Linked DNA regions of Tribolium castaneum. The protein of the gene in region 1 interacts with the protein of each later gene in a pairwise test. Links are inferred from orthologs where the notes say so. Each region holds a gene or a part of one and is shown on either strand. Other genes may lie near its edges.

Evidence for each region.
Region 2: the proteins of ric8a (region 1) and prenylated Rab acceptor protein 1 interact in binary tests that used the Homo sapiens proteins (3 or more experiments, as listed by UniProt). The link is inferred for Tribolium castaneum from reciprocal best matches to the Homo sapiens genes RIC8A and RABAC1.

What each region holds. Positions count from the first base shown.
Region 1 is NC_087402.1:963,948-975,913, forward strand, and holds ric8a (synembryn-A), read left to right. Parts: upstream 1-4,435; 5' UTR 4,436-4,590; intron 4,591-4,641; 5' UTR 4,642-4,654; coding exon 4,655-4,729; intron 4,730-4,782; coding exon 4,783-4,922; intron 4,923-5,085; coding exon 5,086-5,503; intron 5,504-5,771; coding exon 5,772-6,360; intron 6,361-6,410; coding exon 6,411-6,634; intron 6,635-6,748; coding exon 6,749-6,925; 3' UTR 6,926-7,135; downstream 7,136-11,966. Other genes in the region: RfC4 (replication factor C subunit 2), read right to left, coding at 7,222-7,446, 7,504-8,118, 8,160-8,271, 8,318-8,409; uncharacterized protein LOC135267077, read right to left, coding at 11,554-11,966.
Region 2 is NC_087401.1:8,447,047-8,457,590, reverse strand, and holds prenylated Rab acceptor protein 1, read right to left. Parts: upstream 6,404-10,544; 5' UTR 6,248-6,403; intron 6,202-6,247; exon of another isoform or gene 6,195-6,201; 5' UTR 6,185-6,194; coding exon 6,111-6,184; intron 6,065-6,110; coding exon 5,855-6,064; intron 5,807-5,854; coding exon 5,506-5,806; 3' UTR 5,474-5,505; downstream 1-5,473. Other genes in the region: protein zyg-11 homolog, read left to right, coding at 1,906-2,042; uncharacterized protein MED26, read left to right, coding at 2,710-2,772, 3,043-3,117, 3,162-4,469; Wee1 (wee1-like protein kinase), read left to right, coding at 6,564-6,906. UniProt on the Homo sapiens protein: General Rab protein regulator required for vesicle formation from the Golgi complex. May control vesicle docking and fusion by mediating the action of Rab GTPases to the SNARE complexes.

The DNA.
Region 1 (11,966 bases):
TACGGTGTTGAGAGCGCGTCAGCGTGTCTTGTGTTATGCTCGTGATATGAGCCATTCTTGATGAACTCGTGGAGGTGGTTGTGGACGTACCTCAGACAGCTCAATATGTACGCGGAAGGGATGGTAAGAATTTGTTGTTGTTTGAAGGCTGGGCGGCAGCTTTCCCGATAGTTCATTTGGCACAGGATTCTGATTGCTTTCTTTTGCAGGACGAAGATCTTGTCAGCATCTGATGAAGTACCCCATAGAAGTATACCATAGGTGGCTTTGCTGTGGAAGTTAGCAAAGTATGTCACCCTTGCAGCTTGGGGAGTTGAGATATTCTTGATTCTTCTGATACTGAATAAAGCTGATGCTAGGTTTTTGCAGGTTTCCTGAATGTGGTCCTTCCAAGATGCTTTGCTATTTAGGTAAAATCCCAAGAATTTTACCGATGTGACGTTGGTGGGTTTTGAAGATATAAATAGTTCCTGAGTCTTGTCTCCATTGAGTTTCAGTTTATTTGCTGTGAACCATTCATTGGCATCTTCAAGGATTTTTCTCATTTTTGGTTTTAGCGTATCCTCTGTTTCTTCTTTGATGCAGAAGGAAGTGTCGTCCGCATATAGACACTGTCCATCCACTCTCATATTGATAGGCAAGTCATTTACATAGATTATAAATAGCAGTGGACCGAGGATTGATCCCTGGGGCACTCCACACCTTGTTGGCAGAGGCTTTGACCATTTTTCATTCCATTTTACTATCTGGGTTCTATTTTCAAGGTAGGACTTAAAAATTTCTTGCGTGATCCCTCGTATCCCATAGTGTTGTAATTTTTGTAGAATCAACTTGTGTGGCAGGGTGTCAAACGCTTTGCTTAGATCGCACATCGCTACTTCTACCATTTCTCGGTTATCTAGGGCTCTTGTTATTTTCTTGTATAGATCCAATGCTGCAGTAATGGTTGATCTACCACTTCTATAGCCATGTTGTGACTCACTAAATAAGTCATTTTGCTCAAGATACTTCATTAAACGATTCTTCAGAGCAGCCTCGAAGACTTTTGAAATTGTAGGTAGAATAGAGATTGGTCTAAATTTGTTGATGTTTTCTACTTCGCCTTTTTCTTTTGGAACCGGAATAATTTTTGCCACCTTTAACTCGTCAGGAAAGTATCCTTCAATAAAACTTTTGTTTATGAGCATAGTAAGTGGATTTGTAATTTCTAGGAGTATTTCTTTCAAAAATGACGTAGACATATCGTACACATCTTTGGAGTTTTTGCATTTTAAGGATCTTATCAGTCTTGTGACCTCTTCTTCACTAACAGGCGCTAACCAAAACGATTTTGCATTGCTTTTACACGCCTTGAGGAAATCACAAGGATCTTTGTCGATTTTTTTTATACTGTCTGACGTTTTCTCTCCTATCGTGGCAAAGTAGAGATTGAGTTCGTCGGCATTCAATTTGCATTCTTTGGTATTGCTTGTCTTCGTTTTTGTATTGATGATTTTCCAAATGGCTTTTTGCTTATTATCAGCATTGTTTAGGATATAAGCGTTGTAGTTTCTGTGGTTTTCTTCAATTTCTTGGAAGTAGCTGCGTTTATATGACTTGAAGACCTCAGCTGATTGTTGGCTTTTCTCAACTCTTGCTATTGTTTGTAGAGCTTCTAGTGTATTTTTCATACTCATGATTTTTTTACTAATCCACGTAGGTCTCTTATTGAATTTTGGTTTATTAATTTTTTCTTTTCTAGGGAAGAATTTGTCAAAGGCAGCTGTCAGAGTTGTATGGAAGACAGTGTAGGCCTCTTTTGCATTACGGTGTTTGAAGACACGAGCCCACTCAATTCCGGTTAAGTACTCCTTAAAGTAGTAAGTATTCTGTTCATTTATTCTTCTGTATATATGTTTTTCTGGTTTTCTAGGTTCTTGCACTGGGTTCTTAATCTTCAGGACTTGACAGTAGTGATCAGACATGCACCAACTTTTTGTCTCTTTTGAGAAGATTTCTTCTATGTTAATATTTGAAAATATATTATCTATGCAGCTAGAAGAAGTTTCAGTTGTTCTAGATGCCTCTCTCATTAGTGGTTGCATACCATATGTTGTGAAAGTTTCGATTAATAAAGATTGTTCGACGCCATCCTTGAGAATATTGGTGTTAAAGTCCCCAGCGACAATGTATCGTCTAGAGTGGTTCCTTTGTGTCAGGTTTTCTAGTGCTTCATTAATTTTATCTATGAAGTGCTTGAAGTTCTGATTTGGAGATCGATATACCGCCATTATTATTAAGTTTTTTGAAGGAATCTCAGCAGCTGAGATTTCTGCAGTGAATTCTTCACATAGGGGTCTAATGCCTTCAATATTTTTTGCGGAAATACCCTCCCTTGTTGCGATTAAGGATCCGCCATGCTGGTTAAGTGATCTGCTAAAGTGGCTTATAATATTATATCCTGGGATGGTTAAGCTTTCCAGGGTGTTGTCCTTGCACCAGTGCTCAGTGATAATTACAATGTCTACTTCGTCTTCTGTTAACTGTATAGTCAGTGCGTCTATTTTTTTCGATAGTGATTGTATGTTATAGTTTATTATTGTGGTTAGGTTTTCAAAACCTACCGATTTGTTGGGGTCTTCTTTTTCGTCGTTTCGTTGGTTTAATGATTGGCTTGTTTCGGGTTTTTTGTCCTGGACTGTGTTACCCTCCTTGTCAACTTGTTTTTTTTGCTTGTTGTTTTCTATCACCCTGTCAGATGGCTTGTTACTTTTTTTCTGAGCTTTTACGTTCGTCAGGTTTTCTCTTTCTTGGTTTGTGATGACATCTGTGTGTCCTTTGTTGGATCTTGTTATTGGTTTGGACGATTTGGTTTGTGACTCCGCTAACAGCTGATCTAACCTTTGTATTGTTCCGTTTTGATTTTGTATTTGTTTCAGACAGTCGTCAATTTTTCCCTTAAGGTTACTTACAATATCTATAAGGTGTCTCATCGCTTCCTCTTGCGAGGGTCTGATTCTGCAGGAGTCGCACACCCATTTGATATTTTCCTTGTAGTTATCTAGTACCTTGATTTCTCCAGGTTTGTATGGGCTGCATGCATAGTGAATGCATGTGTTGCACTTTCCATAACAAAGGATCACTTTGTCGATGTTTATATTTACTGTTTCACGGCACTGTTTACAGACGTGTGTCGTGGTCGCCATCTGTAGGTCTCGCAGAATGAGTAAAAAAAAACGTTCAAAACTAGTGTTAAACCGTGGGTAATAATTCCGGATAAAGAAGTGTTTTGGGTCGATTTTTTTAAACAAAAAATTTTAACACGAAAAAAGTTTGTATGGGACGATTTTACATAAGGTATCTTTGATTTTGAGACGCTCTTAGTAATTAATGTGCGTGAAAACATGAGAATATAAAGATAACACTTATTTTAAGCTGTTTTTTGAGTCAAAAAACAGTTAAATCGCTTAAAAGCGGCTTAAATTACATCAATTTCGGTCTAATTTTTAATTAAAACATTTTGACTACGAATATCTAAAGGTTAGGATAACAAACGACGTACAAATAAAACGTTCCCGTCCCCAATAGTTTCGTTAATGTCGCCAGAGAGCGCAGTTATCTAAATTTTTGAAAAAAATTGTTGTATTTGTACAACGGTTAACACATAGCAAACAAAAAAAACACAGCCAGATAGAGCATTAAATTCTCAATAGTAAGACATAAACATAAGCAAGAATTTTACTGTAATCTATTTAAAAAAAATTCAAAGTTTAACCAATTTGCTCTCTGTCCCATATTTTTCAAAACGCTGCGAATACCGTTACAGATACAAGAAAAATGTTAGAAAAAAAGTTGTAGAGAAGTAAATTTCCTACAAAAAAGTCCGCAAGACTAGTTCTCTATCTTCAACCATTTAGTCCCCAAAGTCGTTCAAAAACGCTCAAGCGCGGATTTGCTTCATTTTGTATTGGAAATTTAATTTATACTTAAACCGCTGAAAATAAAAACATAATTTTTATAATTTTTTTGTATTTCGTAAGAAATACAAAACTTTGCGCAAATTCTAAATTTTAAATAATTTTTTTCTCATCTTTCTTTCAGTTTTTCTCAAGTGCTACGACAACATTTCTGTATTTTTTCCAAGTAATTAGTGAATTGGTTGAATTTTTACTCGGCCGTACTATTTTTTTGGTACGTTTCGTCTCCTAACTTATAGTCCTCCGTAGACTCGATAAAGAAATTTAGTGCTTTTACAATTAACAATCAGAGGGCGCGACACTCACAACACTAATACGGTGATTGTATGTTTATAAAATTATTTTTTTAGCACAAGAAATCTATAATCGAGTTGCTTGAAATTCCAACTACACATAAAAACATCAAAAAACATTGTAATAAATGCTAGAACGTTTCGTAACAAAAAAAAAATTACAGGTTGCGCTTCTAAGTTACAGATACCTGTAAAAAAGGGGCGTCCAGTTTTGACGCTGTCAGTGCGCAGGTGTCAAAACTGTCAATTTCTCTAATTTTATCTGTGGTGTTTAGCAGAAAAACATAATTTGTGTGTAAACAACAAGAAAACATTCAATAAAACCGTAACGAAATATTCAGGTACGTTAACGTGGTTGTTGTACAGAAGTAACTAACAAGAGACACTAACAGGTGTTGAATAATAATGGATAAACATATCCAAACTATAATAAAAGGAGGAAAAGAAGCAGCAGAATCGCTACAATGTTTCGTTGAAGAGGTATGTATAAATATTTAATGACAGTTACAATAAACAACAATCTTGTATTGAAGGCTTCACAAGTATTCGAGTTTCCAGAACTCAATAAAAATAACCAACGGAAAGAATTATGGGAGGCATTATTTACATTGGCCAAAACAGCCAATAGTGAGATTACACTAATGAATTGCTTTATCGCAATTCGTATATTAAGGTATTTGCGGAATTATTCCGAAATGAATTGGCATATGGTAGCTAAATCCTAAACTATTTGATTGATTTGAGTTACCAACAGAAATTTAAATTTCCGTAGCCACCTATGCCAATTCAAATCAATACAATTTCGGTGATAATTCATAACATGCAAAAAATTTTAGTCGGGAAAAAATGGGTCTGAACGAGTTAATAACAGACGAATGGTTCAAACTCATGCAAAAACACTCCGGTTTGGACGATCCCCAGTACAAATTTGATGCTAGTAAATTATTATTGGCAATTGAAGTGGAAAAATGTTTATGCAATGTGATTTTCAACAGTCCTGTTGCTGCAGGACTGTGTTGCAAAAATGGTGTTTTGGAACAGTTAACTGAACGTATCAAAAATCCCCAAGAGAATAAAATACCGGAAGAAATCAGATTTTACGATGTTAAGCTCATTTTCCTACTAACAGCACTGTGTTCTGAAGTTCGCTCAAAAGTAAAGGAAGAATTAAAAGGGGTCGAATCTTTGCTTAAAATGCTAGATGAGATGCTGAAAGAAGCGGCCCAAGCATCACCCGAAAAAATTATTTTGGATGTAAGTATAGTTATATTTTTTTTAACAATTTATTTTGAGACACCCTGTATAATAAATTTTTTAAGACAACTTGTTGTTTATTCAATGAAGAATATTTCTTTGTGCAAAAACAGTTTGTAGGCATCGTTTTATTAATTCATTAATTAAAATAATTTTAATTATAAGGAAGTGTGGAAAAAATCTAAAAAAAAATCACATGTGTAGGGAAATAGTGGAAGATGTTTTAATAAAGTAATATTAATTATCTTGCTTGTTTTTTCTGTTTTAGGACCAAAAAGTGGACCTGGCTTGCGAAATTCTGAAAGCCCTATTTAACGTAACATTAAGTTACGGCATCTATGACGATAAAGAAGAAAACGAACAGTGTGACCATTTGGTCACTCTCTTAAGAATGTATCTTCTTGTACCAACACAAGATAAAGAAAAAGGCCTGGCATTAAAAAACAACGTAATCAATTTACTAACAAACATGCCTGATTCAACTTTCAAAAATCTGATAACACCTGTCCAACCTGGCCAAAACCTCAAACCCAAATTTCAATTCGAAGGCCAGAATATGACGGCTTTTTACGAAATCCTGATGGTGCTAAAAAGCAAATTTAACAACGTTGAAGGTGTCACAAAACAATACGAAATTTTGTGTCCTGTCGTAACAATTTTATTGAAAAGTGCAAACAGTGAACGTGCTATTCGAAAATATCTCCGTCTCCAAATTCTTCCACCTTTGAAAGATGTGCACAGTCGACCTGAACAAGGCTCCACACTTCGTAATCACTTGTGTCGGCTTTTAACCACGCCGATAACACAGTTGAGGGATTTGGTGGCCGATTTGTTGTTCATTTTGTGCAAAAAAAGCGGTAAAAACAATTCATTTTATTTATTTTTTAAATAATTATTATAATTTTAGTCAAAAGGATGATTAAGTATACGGGTTATGGCAATGCTGCGGGTCTCTTTGCCAAAAGGGGGCTCTTAGGGGGGCGCTCAGATAGAGGCGAGGCTGATTATAGTTCAGGTAGTGAGGGAAGCGAAACTGAAGAATATGCCGAATTTAAACATGGGATTAATCCAGTGATTGGGTGTTACGAAGAACCGCATCCCAACGCAATGGAAAATATGACAGAGGAACAGGTAATTTGATTTTGTTGAAAAAACGGTTATTGTGGCTCCTGGCGACCCACAACAAAAATTGTTTTTTTTTTTTGTTGAGGAAAAAAATAATCAGGGTAATTTTTTTGTTTGCAGAAAGAGTATGAGGCCATGAAGTTGGTCGAATTAATGGACAGTTTGACCAGATCTGGGACCATCCAACCATGTAGAGTAGGCGAGGATGGGAAACCTCATCCCATCAAACATGTGTTACAATTGCAGGAAGGTATAAAAGCGCAACAAGTCAACAATGACAGCGATAGCGATGATTAATTTATTTTTAATAAATAATAAATGTCGTAAACCTAGTCTGCATTTTAAAATGATTGAATCAAATCGTTTACTATTCTATTGTTTGTATTTTTAACGAAACGATGTTAGGAAAAATAGTGAGATTATTTCTTTATGTACGTATTTTATTTAATATTATTTATGTTGTGATACTTCCGTTTTAATGATCGAATAAAGTCGCACTGAATGTGATTTGTTTGTTTCAATATAAACACCAATTAAGTTGTATATTTTTTATTGAAAAACTTATTTAAATACAATAGCAAATTTTAAAGTAATCATTCACCCTTCACTCCTTTAGCTTCCATACATAATCTCGATATAAGTCCCGACATTTGCACCAAAGAGCACAAACCATCAACAATCCTCATATGTGTGACCCCAATTTGTTTAATAAAAGCAAGTTTCAAACTCTCCTCCATGTCCATATTTTTGCAAACCTTGAAAATATTCTTAATAATATCCTCGGCAGCGTACCCCAAACTCCACAAATGATCAACAATCTGCAACAAAACTCCACTAAATAACAAAAAAAAACACGTATTCAAATTGTTACCGACCTTGAACGCCTTCCTTACATCACCAGTAACACAACTGTTGAGCATATCTTTAATTAACATAGGATGGGGCTCATCGCACACTTTCAGCACATTAGTGGAATTAACAACCCCAAAGCCGTTAAAAGTCGACTGTAAATTATTCAACGCTTGTCTCATATCCCCCTGAGCTGTGAACACAATCGCCTCAAGCCCATCCTGCGTATATTCAACACTCTCCTGTTGGCACACTTGTATCACCCTTGCCAACACTTGGGCATCCGTTAAGCGGGAGTACCGCAAAATAGCACACCGTGACTGAATCGCTTCTATCACTTTTTCACTGTAGTTACAAGCCAAAGCGAACCGAGTCGTATTACTGTAAATTTCCATCGTGCGTCTTAGGGCTTGTTGCGCCCCTTCGGTCATACTGTCCACCTCGTCCAAGATAATGATTTTGTGGCGTCCAGGCGGGAGAGTGACTTTTTGTTGCGCAAACATTTTGATTTTGTTACGGACAACGTCTATACCTCTGTCGTTTGACGCGTTGAGTTCGAGAACAGCGTCTTTAAACGCTGGGCCTAAAAGGATTCGGGCCAGGCACAGGATTGTGGTGGTTTTGCCCACGCCAGGAGGCCCCTAGTTAATTGTGGAGTGGATAGGGGGAAAATTACACTTACGGCAATGATTAAATTGGGGAGGTTGCCCTGTTTGGCGATGACTGACAGGCGATTGGTGGTGTCTTCATTGCCTACGATTTCTTGGAAAGTCTGGGGGCGGTATTTTTCGATCCTGTTAACGAACTGTTAGAGATTGTGGTTGGAAGTGAGGGAGTTACCAAGGGAGGTTATCGGCTTTTTGTAACGGGCCTTGGCCGGGTTCGGCCGAAGGGCCCGCCTGTGGGGCTTCTTCTACTTCCATTGTCTCCATAATCAACTAACACAACGTATTGACAGTTTCCCTCCAAAGTTAAATTTTGTAGGTTAGTGTTCGGGTGTCATTGACATTGATTTGTGTGAAGACAGCTCCCCAAACCAGCTCCTCGAAATTCCGAAGAAACCCGAACATGAAGCCAGTTTCACACTAGCAAAATACGTTTCAATTTGCGTAGATGTATGTTTGGTTGTCAGCTTTGAAACCGTTTAATAAAATAAAAATCCGAAAAAACACTAACACCCTCTTAAAAATGACATTTTAAGAAAGTCACTTTGCTAATAGCGAAAAACTCAATTATTTACCACAAATTGCTTCATAATTTTTCCCACTTTTTCACCTAATTTCAATATTTATAGCTCCGCAAATGCACTATTGCAGTTTTCGCCCCATTTCACCCCGAAATCGGTTTTGTCACACAATGCCCTTTTGACCACCAATTCAACAATAAAAAAGATGTTTTTTTTAGAGTTTAGTTTAATCCCAAATAACTCGAGAACGGTACAGTTTGACGACATGAAGCAAGAGTACCTTTTTTATTAAAAAATAATTGGGCTTTTGATTTTTGACATCAAAAATACGTGTTTATAGGCCGAAAAATTGAGTTATCACCTAAAAACTGGAAGGGTCCCCTTGTCACCGGAAATGTATAGCTTTTACAAGATTTCCATTTACACCATATCAAAGAGCGTCTTTGTGTCTCTTGACATGCAAAATTTCATAATAATCGCATGAACGGTAACAAAAATATTTTCAAAAAACCATTTTTCCATACCAATTTCTGAAAAATTGTAATTTTCCAATTTTTTGTGGTGGGTCAGTAAATACTATCCTATCTATTCTTAATTGTAGAGGGGTATTCGTGGTTAAAATTATGCCACACATTTTTGAATCACCCGATATTATCAAGTTATTATCTAACCAAGTTTCAGTGAATGTGTGTAGAACAAAAGAATTATCTAGATTTATCTACAGGCTGCTCAAAAACTGGCGCACCAACGCAGTGGTACGTTGTTGAGAACACGTGTAGATCACGGGAAAAATGTTAAAAAAATTCCTAAAGTCATATTTTAAAAAATCAAGAGCTACAAACTTATTGTGTTAACTTCTTTAGTTATCATTATTTTTTTATATTTCTATGTTTCATACCAGGTAATCGTTCCGTAACAAAACGATGAATAATTATTTTTAAATTTACTATCAGATTTTAGCAGTTTTTTTAATTAAAAAAAATTAAAATTCATCCAAAAAATCACAATGTGTAGATGTGCCAACACTGGGAATTATTTCCTAGGAAACCGTTTCAAAAATAATTTATTTTTATTGTTGATCAAATTCTATTGCGATCATGACTGTTAGACAACGTTGCCACATATCATTTATCTAAAATTAGTTATTTATCAATAACTTTAATTCAAAGAATTTTTTTACTATTTTTACCTTTATATGTAACCAGTTCTCTACCACACACCAATGAGTTGGTGCGCCAGTTTTTGAGCACGCTGTATACTGACTGTTTAAATTTAAAGATCTACCTTTTTAATGAAAATAGCAACAGCGGATTTGCATTTTTTTTATTGAAATAGGGCACAAAAGTAGACTTTATAGTTATAGTATAACTAATGGACCCAGAAATTAAGAAAAATTTTTTTGCTTAAGATTATTAGAAACCATTTACAAATTCATTATGTAAGTAATTTAGTTTTGATAAAAAGAATGTTGTTTGCGCTTTGCATTGATCTGAGACACTTTTATTTTTGTATATATATATATATCTAAGGGCCATTAAGTTAATTTGCAACTAACAAATTAACTTAATGGCCCTTAGATATATATATATATATATATATATATATATATATATATATATATATATATATATATATCTAAGGGCCATTAAGTTAATTTGCAACTAACAAATTAGCAAATTTGATTTGATTTGCGTTGTTAACTTTTAACAACGAATTAAATTTTAACAAACCATTTTATAAACGGGCCCCAAACGTTATATTAAATAATCACACTAACAAGAAGTAATAAATAATAATTAACACGAAAGTATTTGAATGGCATTAGTCGGACCATTGATTCAAAAATATGTACGATATAAAATAATTGAGAAATTTTTTATTCAGTAATTTGTTAAAATCGGGTAATTAATTATGAAGTCGCAATTTATGGCACTTTTTACACATTTCTAAAAAAATTATTGATGAAACTAATTTTTATCGAGGATTAATTTTTTATTCGTTTTCACTTTTGTTAGCTCTTTTGTCACAACTAATAATAATAGACAAAAGTCTTGTATCACTCAAGGATGAAATATCACGGGATTAAACTATTGAAGCTGGATTTTTAACCACTAAACTAAACGTCTGAAGACGTAATCCGTTAAAACACTGGATTAAAAGAGAATTAGAACAAATTCAATTCAATTTTATCGAAGAATCAGCAGATTAGACTGTTGTTTATCCACCACGTTTATAAAAGAGATTCTGCTCTCGATACCTCAGTAGATATCGCAATGAAAGTGCCAGTACTGATAGTACTAGCCCTCGTGGGCTTGTCTAGTGCCAAATACGAGGGCTCAACAATCTTGAGTTTAGCATTGAAATCGAAAATGTTGGAACCGCCATTCAGGCTGAAAAACACTACCACAAATCGAGACAAGCTTTAGGTTTGGGAACAATTACTTTTGACCAATATTTACGCCACGCTGAGGTAACACTTGGAAAAAATAACTCCCGTTTTTAGTTATTGTTTTAAAGATTAATGCTTATTTGGCCCAACTGGCTAAAGACTACCCCGACACTGTCACTCTAGGAACAATCGGACAGTCGTACGAAAAACATTCCCCGACTACAATCCGATCTATTCTTACAGCATCTCCTCTTTCACGACAGCTTATACCGTTTATAGGTATGTGTCTATCGAGGAGAATCATCGGCACGACCATCAATCCTGAATTCGTCTTCGACTCATGAGCCTTTGGCCTTTGGCGAATCAACAGGACAGTAAAATTAGCTGAACTTGGTGAACAAACCAAGCATTTGGAAATTTAAATAGAATTTTATTATTAACACTATAAACAAATCATTAGCAGAATAATAAAATAAGTATTAATTTTTTTAACATAATAAATTATAATAGTGTATCACTACAGACAGATTTACTTATTCCTTCAGTTCCAACTTGATATGTTATAAAAACTTTCTTCTCCTCTGGCTCGAATGTCAAACCAGCGTAAATCTTTTTTGAAATGTGTTTATAGTCAGGTTCATCAAATTTAGTGTAATATTGCTTCTCAAAAATTTGTTGTAAAGCTTCATTTGCAGACTTGGAATACATTTTGTATTCAAAAATGATTCCAACGTTCTTACTGATTATCACCACATCTAGGGTATTGGCTATCCCTGGTCGTTTTCTTTTTTTCTTGATCTGGACCTCACTGTGTGTTTCGAAGTATCTGGAGTTATATACCAGAGTATACAAGATGTGATGAAGTTCTGTTTCGTTCATAATCTTCTGTGATTGAGAGAGTAATACCAATACGG
Region 2 (10,544 bases), on another chromosome or scaffold:
CTGTATAGTGTGAACAATTTAGCAGGTACCTTCTTTAAATGATTCTAGGAAACACTTTCTTTTTTCTTTTGTATTAGTGGAAACTCGCGTCGACTTGTTTTCTAAGTAAGTCAAGTCGCCTTAGGCGTCAGGATGAAAATCATTTTAACACATCTTGTACATATATACTATTTGTGCTTTAGAAAATATGTATGAAAAAGACATATTACCATAAATGCTTCTGTAAAACTAATTCAGACAAGAATTACTTTAATATTTCTCTGCAAATGAAAAACAAAAGTTATTGTGTAGTAATTACAAAATTTAAGAATCTTGTTATTTTATTAAACAGTATTTCAAAGCAGATTCGATAAGTATGTGTATATGTTCTCGATAATATGAACAGCCGTGAATTTTTTGTGTTCACAATTTCGAGATTGAAGTTTTAGTTTTTTCCTAATGAACTATTTTCTGAATGGCTAGTGACATTTTTTTACGGATTTTTCCACAAAACAACAAATAATAAATAATTTTTGAAGCAACTTAATATTAGGTTATTTTAAAAAAACTAGAAAATGACTGAAAAAATTCATAGCCATAAAGAAAAATATTTGATAATATAAATAAAGTAAAGGCTGCGTTTGGTGTAATTGATAGTTTTTGCGATAAAGTATAAATATAAATGACTTTGCACACAAACCTTGCATAAATAAATTGAAATAAAGGATATACAATAAATAATATAGAAAATAAGAAAGTTATCGTCCATTATACAAATGGCTTTATTTTACTTTGTTTGCCTTGTTGTTGTTTTATTATGTTTTTATTTTCCAGGGGATAGCACTTTTTTCCCAAAACTGTTCTGATTGTATATCAAATTTTGACGAAAAGGCATGGCCACAGACTACGGAGGACTATAACTTAGGAGACGAAACGAGATAAAAAATTGCAGGAAATTCTGAGCCCAAGAAAATAGTACGACATAATAAAAAGTGGTACACCTTTATTCTACAAGTTGTTACGCCACATTATTTGATTTGGTCATTTTTTTATCTTACTCAATAGAATGAAGTGGCCATTTGGTGATTTTTTTTAGTCAACCGGTGAAAAAATTTGACAAAATTTTCTCAATATACTTTCGGTTTACTTTCATAAAAACCATTGTGGTGGAATTGATTAACCTGTTACCATAACAACTCATATAAAAGTTAATGCCAAGAGTACCCAATTTCCACCACAATGGTTTTATGAAAGTGAACCGATTATTCTTAACTGGAAGCCTACTTCATTGGTATCCTTAAAAATTTAAGTCCAGTGTTGCCAACAGACTCAGTATTTCTGAATCAGTCTGTATAATAAACTTCTATTTCTGAAAACTCAGACAGTAATGTAATGGAACAACTGCGCTCTCTGGCGACCTTAACAGAACTATCAAAGACGGGAACCGGGAACGTTTTATTTGTAGGTCGTTTCGTATCCTAGTATTTAGATATCCGTAGACATGGCCCTCTTTAACTATTTATTGTAATTTTTTTATTTCTATAATTTGTCGAAATAATCGCAAATTAATATATTCGAGTGAATCAGTTGAAATGTGTACAAAACCGTCAGTCGGGGCGAAATATTGCAAAATATTATGTAACTGACGTAAAATCAATACTTGATATAACAGTTCAATTGCGAGTTTTTATTTCAATTTAAAACCAAGTGTTTGGCGAATATTGTGCGCTTGTTATTACAGTGACCAAAAATTACATTTAGCGTTAAGTTAAATGGTAATAAAAATAAATCTCACTTTGACCTTGCCGTATGATAATTTTTTTCAACTTTAAATTGTAAATTTTTAGTGACGCTTGTACAACAATAGTGTGTTACGAAATGATCTGGTTTAGCTAGATGGCGCTTTCTAATAGAATTTATTTCCAGCAAAACGGTACTGCGTCATGTTACAAGACGAAAACGGCCATCTCCTCCTCAGCGACTTGATCAATTACACCGACTCCCATCCCGATATTAAATCAATCTCGTCTCAGATCCTCGAAACGGTGGCTGGCCACGTTTGAAGATCTCCAGCAGCATTATTGTGATTTACCCATAATTCTCAGTTACTTTTTACTTAGGATTGTTACCACTGTGAGATAATTAAGTTGCGCCCAACTCCCCCCGTTGTATATTTTTATTACGTTGTCGATTGGTTGTGTTTTAAGACGTGCCAATATGTATAATGTCCTGTACAAAAGATGTATAAATGTTTACCTAGTCAAATATATCACGCGTTAAGACAACACCCCTGTTTCTGGTTTGAATTTCGCGGGCGGTGGTGCCAACCTGCCAGCGACCTGTCACGTGACGGCGTCGGACGCTCGTGGGGCCTGGCGCGGTTCCGGGGCCCCATTTGGCCCCGATGGCGCCGCACCGCGCCAGAGGCGAGTCGGGGGACGCGCGAGTGTCGCGGCGTGGCTGGGGGCGCCGTTCCGCGGTCGCTTTTGTGGCCCCGTTTCTGGGGGATTTTGCTGCGGTGAGGTTTGCGGTTGGCGGACACGCGCAATGATCGTTAGAGTTCGCCGAACCGATCCCCTCTCAGTATGTTCGGGTGCACCATGTTCCGTGTTTCACAGTGCGGACTGAGGACTGCACAAAGCGCAATGTACCTGCGCCATTACTGTGGAGAGGAACTACGAACAGTTCTGTCAAAGTATACCCGTTTTTCTCGCTTTAGGACGACTTTAAATGCAGAATAACGTAACGGAATTGACGCACAGATTACTACGAGCCCTCGACACTAATTACAATGTAAGAATTTGCCTGTTTTTTACCAAATCACACCGACACTCGCCCGAAAAGCGTACACCATTATCCCGACCATCCAGCACACGGCTGCATGCCCGAGACCGCCAAATACCGCGAAAACCCACCGAAATCGGGCGAAATAACGCCAAAAACGCGATCGCCTTTTGTCAAATCGGCCCAATCGTGGTTGGCCACTTGACCCAAACAGTCGAATAATTTGACAGTTGGGGCGCTTTGCGCCCCAACTGTCTCAACTAACCCCGTTTTTTCCAGGTCATTGACATGCCTGCAGTCATCGAAATCGTCTCGCTCCTCGAAAAAGTCACAATTACCAAAGAACTGCTCGAGGTAAGTGTCTCCCGAGTGTTGCGCCCCCTCATCGTGCGTTTCAGACCACCCGACTGGGCAAGCACGTGAACGAGCTGCGCCGCAAGACCGACAACGACTCGCTGTCGAAGCGCGCCAAGGAGCTGGTGAAGAAATGGCGCAATATGGTGCTGCCCGACTCCAACGGCCAGCTGAAGCCCCTCGAGAAGCGCCCCCTCAACCGGTCCCCCTCCCCCAAGCGGCCCAAGCTGAACGGCCAAACGGCCGAACTCGAACTGTCCGATAACTCGAATTCGAGTTTCAAAGATGTGATAAGTACGAAATTGAAGCGTGATGTGATCCTCATTAATTCCGACTCGAATTCGAGTCAGCAAGAACCACAACTCGAGCAACAACAACCCAAGAAGCGCGGACGCAAAAAAGGCTCCAAAAACCACAAGAATCTTCTCGATGAGGCTGAGACGTCGTTCACGAATAAGTTGGCCGTGTCGAGGGGCAACTCCAAGGTGAAGACCACGCAAGAGTTGATTGCGGGGCTCCAGAATAAGAATAACACGGTCTTGGGGGCGTCGCCTGTTAAACCGAAGGAAGATCTGAGTTTGCGTGCAGCTAAGTTAACGGAGAGGGTGTCAATAATTGACCAGAAGCTTAATACAAATGCTAACCGGTTCAAGAATTCGAGGAAAATTAACTTGGGGGGCAAGAATGTGATCGAGTCGGGGTCGGTGATTAATGACAAGTCGCTGATACCGCCTGAAGAGGAGGTTATTGTTGTGGACGATGTCGAGCCGACGGTTGAAGACAAGCCGCCGGAGACGCCGCCCCCTGAGCCCCCCGAAGAGGCCAAAATCACGTCGTTGAGTGTCGAGGAGGCGCTAGCGCAGCTGCCACCGCTTGTCGTCGACGAGGAGGAGGAGCCCCAGCCTGTGTGCACCTGTATTCTGAAGGAGCACAAGGATTTTTCCGTTGATGATACGGAAGAGTTGGGGCAACCGTTTGAGTTTGTTGAGGATGAGGAGTGCGCAGCCAGGTTACACTTTGAGGGTAGGAAAAAAACTGAAGAGGTTACTCCAGAGGAGCTACATAGCAAGTTTATTGATAATGTGAATGGGAATTGGGGGGTTGGAGTGGCCAAAATGGGGCCTGAAGTTGACGATAGAGGTCTCTTTGTGAACGTAGTGCCTAATGTAAATACGGAGAGTATACCGAAGGATGTCAAAGCGGACTTTGATTGTGAGAATTATAAGAAATATAGCATTTCAGAGAGTGACAGGACAGGTGATAGAGTGTTTCGGGAGTGGCACGAGGTCGTCGAGACACCTTCCTACAACGGCGAAATTTTCAAAATTTTGCCTTACGTTATTATAGATTAAAATACTAGTCTTGTATTAATTACACCTAAGAATTAAGTTTTTTTTCCACTGAAAGACGAGGTGTCATATTATTTTATTTGAGACCTAGAAACTGAACGTCGGGGTCGCTTTTTTTAATTATTATTGCACACCGCTTTTATAATTGTGTATATTTTATTAGCTAGGCAATGTTTTCAAAGTGTTACGAGCTATGGTTATATATTTAAAAAAATGTCAATTCACACATTGGCTATTGTTAATTTATTAATTTGTTGTTTCAATTCGCATTAATTAGTTATGAGTTTGCCAAACGGGGCGCATTTCTTCCGTTTTGTTGTCAGGTAATTAATTAATTTTTCAGTTTATTGTACATAAATTTAGGTTGTTCCACCCCTTTATCAAAATAGTTATTGTACAAACAGTTAATTTCTCTAGTTGGAAAATATCAGTACATGATATTAATTGCCTTTTACGAAAAATAAACATATTTTCTATAAATTTGACACGGCTTTGGATTTGACACACCCATCCACGTGGTCGCGTTGCCATGCACACCGCCAATCGCGTCCTTGACACTCGTCACGTGGTCGCGTTGCCATGGCCTCCGCCAATAGGGCGGCATAAGTCGGGTCACGTGACTGAATTTGACACAAGGCGGGGAAAATATTTCATAAAATAACAAGCTATAGTTATATATTAAAAAAAACATCGATTCACACACTGGCTCTAATTAATTCGGATGTTGTTTCAATTCGCATTAATTAATTAGTTAGTTACGAGTTTGTTATATATAATTATTGTATATTATCCGTTTTATCGGGTATAAAAGTAGTTCAAATCTTAAGAGATAAATTTCTTCTTCTTCAAGAATATCAGTACATAATATAATTTGGCTTTTACGAAAAATAAACGTATTTTCTATAAATTTTACACGGCTTTTTTGACACACTCATCACGTGGTGGCGTTGCCATGGCCTCCGCCAATGAGCAGTGTGAGTCGGGTCACGTGACTGAATTGACACAGGGCGGGTAAAACATTTAATAAAATTGTACAAAATTAGACTTGTTCTAAGAGCGGAAAACCGTCTTCTCCTTGCGCGATCACAGCGTCGATGTTGTAGAACGAGGCATGTAAAGTAATAAGGAAAAATGAGGCTCCTAGGACCCAAAACATGGCCCCGTGGGCCCCCACCATGTAATAAACTGGCATGGAACATAGTGCTACCACTCCATAAACTTGTGCCAAAGTCAATTCTTTTTTAAAAAGCACGATTTTCTTCTCTTGGTGCCTTTTGTTAAGCTTGTAGCCTGCGTAAAAAGTCCCAGCAAGGGCGAATAGAATCAAAGGCGAGGTTATTCTGAAAGTAGAATTTTGGGGTTGGTGCTCACACTGAGGGGCTCCTTACAAGCAATAAACAACCAAACCGAGGAAAACAAATAAATAATTGCTCTGGAAGTACTCGATGTTTCTCATAATTCGTTTGCTGAGTCTTGGGACTGAAGGGGGCGTCTTGAAGTTGGAAGTTTGTATGAATAATAGCCAGGGACGCACGTTTTGTCTTTGTTTACTAAACCATTCTTTCGGGTCCGGTATTTGGGTCGGAACTTGCAGAAAACTAGAAAATTCTAGAATTGAGGTTAGGTCGCTTAAAAATCTCATACCTTGAAAACGGGGTCCGTGGTGAATTTTCAGGGGGCGACATCACCCCCGACACATCCACGGACACGTCTGCCATGACAAGGGGGCTGTTTTCTGTAATTAGGTCACCAGTCCTGTCACTTGCCCACTTGTGGCTTACCTATCACCAAATTTGTCGCCCACCCTTGCAATAACAAATCAGTCACCCCTCTGAGCGTCTTTGACACAGTGGATAAGTAAATGAGCCCCAGTTGTGGTGATTCAAACACCACCGACGTGTCACTTTTCAAACCTCGCGCCGTCGTCAAATTGACACTAAAATGGCGTCCGCCCGCGGCCAATCAGCGCGTAGCTTCGCGCGTTGTGATTGGTCGACTCAAACCCCAGATGCGTCGATTTTCGTAACCGTTTCCGTGTCGAAAATAGAGCGTGTGTTTGTTTTTTTGCGAATTTTGGGCGTTTTTTGTGCGTGAGAAATGTCTGAAGTGCGCCGGAAGACTCCCGAGATCACGTTTGACTCGGAGCCCCCCAACGATCTGGACTCGTCGTCAGGTTGTGAGCTGTCTTTCGAACTTTCGAGTGACTATGTACGCAGCCCCTCACCGAGGCGTTCAGCTTCGTCCAACCCGACATACAGCCCCCCGTACAAGCGGGTGCGAGCGCTGCGACTGTTCGACAGCCCTCTCACCCCCAAGACTATCATACAGAAGTCGGCCACGACGCCGGCCCCCAGGTGTCGGCTCTTCACGGAGAAGCCGCGCAGTGTCACCAACACCAAGCAGAAGCCGGTGGCCAACGTCAACCCCTTCACACCAAACGGTAACGATTTCATTATTTCATTGAGGGGCGCCTCCTGTTTTTTAGCACCATGGCAAGTCGTAACAGGAACTTCAATGAATTTATTTCACCAAAGAAATTATGGCAAAAACTTGCTCCTATTTTAAGGGCAATAATGTAAAGTTTGATAAATCATCTGCCGTCCTGCTATAATAGTGGCAAATTAAAAAAAAATAACTTTTAGAGAAAGTTATGTGGTTGTTAATTCAATGTTTAGCCGCATTTATACATATTTTTTATGTTTACAACTTTTCAAAAAGTAGTTTATTTAACCAGTCTTTTAGAATGTCTCTTTACCCAAATTGTTTAACTTAAAAATATCGTTTTTTAAGGGCAATTTATGACGTGAGTACTATACTATCTAAAATAACGTAAAAAATTTATATTGCCATATACTGTGTTTTCATTGGCTCACTTTTTACAAATACTACTTAATACTACTACTTCAATACTCAATGCTACTACTTAAAGCAAATATCAGATGTTCATTATTAAAAAAAACTCCCAGCATTGCCTGATATTTTTACGGATGTCTTGGAGCAATTTTTATCATTGTATTGTTGGTTGCCTACGAAACCAGCTCATTAGAATTTGTAACCAAAATTGATAAATAGTCGATCTGTTATGTGTATTGAACAACAAGAAATACATTCCCAACAGTTTTGATAAATAATAAATATTTTTATGAAAATCCGTTGTCTTTTTAATTGTCATAAAGTAAGGTTATGAGAGAACGAAATATCATAGACATACAAAATAATTGATTTTTAATTTCAATTCACTCTAGAGTGTTTTTTTAATGAACACTTGTTACAATTTCAAGCAGTTTTTAGTACAACAGTAAGTAATTAATAATAATATTACAAATATTAACATTTACGAGATAAATTTATGTAATAACCCAAGATAGAGAGATGTGGCCAATCTAACTAACTAAAAGTTCAATTAAAAGTGATATTATTATGTAAATTGTATTTCCTGATAATTAAATTATAAAATATAGCTTTTTTACATCTACAGGGTGAGTCAATAGTGGGTTGTGTCTGAATTTTCATAAATATGCAACCGATAATACCGATTCCAGCTAACGAGATCGGTAATCGTTAAAAAAAATAATCCAAGATTACATTGTTCTGGATATTGTCAAGATTGTCTTGACAGTTTTGTTAAAATTTCATTATGGAATATTATTATTTAAAAGATAAAAATCCAATGATGATTCAATTAATGTTTTTAAAACTCAAAGTTCCAAGTGGTAAGTGCAATTATAGTGGCGGTCAGCTCGATTTGCGTGTGCGTCATCAATTTCATTTTTTCATTACCAACACAAAGCTGTAAAAAAATTGTCAAAAACAATGCAAATTTAAACAACTAAGGGGTATCTAAGGGTGGTATCCTTGAACATTAATATACATGTGCACTTCGACAACACCGTTAAGTGTCACGAATTTGTCAACCTGACATTGACAGTAAATCATAGACGTCGTCGCATGGTTGTCGAAAGTGTTATCGGTGTTAATCGCAAGTATTTTTCGTTCGTTTATTGTGTTTTGGGATTTGCGTTTCGTTAGGTTTTTGATTCTGCGTTTATTAGTTCTTGTTTTGTGAATCTGTATTTTTTGTATTTTTTTAATTTAAACACTTCGTAACCTCAAAAAATATTTGATAGTTTGTCACCGCTATGGCCCTGCTATGTAAACGTAGTGACAGAAATGTCAGATGACGCACACGCAAATGGAGCTGAGCGCTACCATAGTATTTTTGGTTGCATTTTAGCACATGTCAGAAATAACCCACTATTAACTCACCGTGTATATGAGTTATTTTTACTTAAACATATGGAGTACAATCGATCGTCTCTAAGATATTTTGTGGAATTTACTTTGGAAAAGGAATGTTCTATTGCAGTTACTGTTTAAAAAAAAAAATGAATTTAAGCGTGAAAATAAAGCAAAAAGTGTTAAAAAATTGTTGGTTGCTGTGTTTTTGCTTGGGACAGCCGACTGTATGCAGTGTACTGTCGTTAAGAAAAATAGGCAATGCCGTTGTTTTTATTTTTTTTTTATTTCGAGATGCTTCTGTTTAAACCAGTTTTTGCTTTCACAAAGTACTCACTGATACTGAAATGTTTACTTGCTAAAAACTAAAATTTAAAAAGCAAATTAGGCAAATAGATTTGGGATCAATTTCAGAACAATTATTAATTAGAACAAAATTTGCCCACCTAAAAAAACTTACGATATTTTGAATTTTTACAACTTTGCAGAAACATAAATTACGTAAAAATTAGTAACCGTTAAAAGATTGGTTCATGATTTTTTTGTAAAAAAGGTTAAAAAAATTAAGTTAAAAAAACGTAAGTTTCGTTTTCTTTGATTTTTGAAATAAAGCCCTCTGATTTAGAAAACTGATTGGTTTCTATAGAAACCAATAAAAAGGATTTTGAATCAGATTTAGATTCGAATTAAATTACGAAGATCATCCACATTTTTTTTGTAACTCACTGAGAAACGAAAGACTTTATAAACTCTGAGAAGTTTTAATTTAATTCTTCTAATCAAAATAGAGGAATTTTGTTACATTGTGAGCAATTATAATCTAATTTAACTTATTATTTGATATTTATTAACAATTTACTAGTTTTAAATACATCTACTACAAACTGATTCACATCTATATTGAATCTATGGGTACAAATATCGGGTGATTCAAAAATATGTGGCATAATTTTAACCACGAATACCCCTCTACAATTAAGAATAGATAGGATAGTGTTTACTGACCTACCACAAAAAATTGGAAAATTACAATTTTTCAAAAATTGGTATGGAAAAATGGTTTTTTGAAAATATTTTTCTTACCGTTCATGCGATTATTATGAAATTTTGCATGTCAAGAGACACAAACACGCTCTTTGATATGGTGTAAATGGAAATTTTGTAAAAGCTATACATTTCCGGTGACAAGGGGGCCCTTCTAGTTTTTAGGTGATAACTCAATTTTTCGGCCTATAAACACGTATTTTTGATACCAAAAATCAAAAGCTCAATTATTTTTTAATAAAAAAGGAACTCTTGCTTCATATCGCCAAAATGTACCGTTCTCGAGTTATTTGGGATTAAACTAAACTCTACACCGCAGTGCAGAATAAAAAAGTATAAATTTTGAGCATACCATTACCTTGGAAACTGTCGACTAAGAATGACACAGCTGTCATTGCTGTCACATTTGATGTCAATTTCATTTAATCTAAAGTAAAATTTGATTATTTCTTGATGATAATAGTTAAAGACACGATTATGTGTTGGAAGAAATAATGCATGAGCTAGCGATAGCCACCCCGGCATCACAACTTGATCTGATGGCACACCACCAGAAAACGATTTTCCCTCCAAATCGCTATTTTTATCGATATTTCAATACTTGCATTATAAAACTATAATCCAAATGAAGAATTAAAACGATCAGAAACCAAGAACACAACCTCAACTGTAACAAATCACAAAATAAAATCTTATCAACCATTTATAGTACCATTATTGCAATTTTTCTTTAATAGGAAGTTAATTTAATCCACAGGTAGTTGAAACCTGCAAAGAATAACGCACGGTTTAATGTTT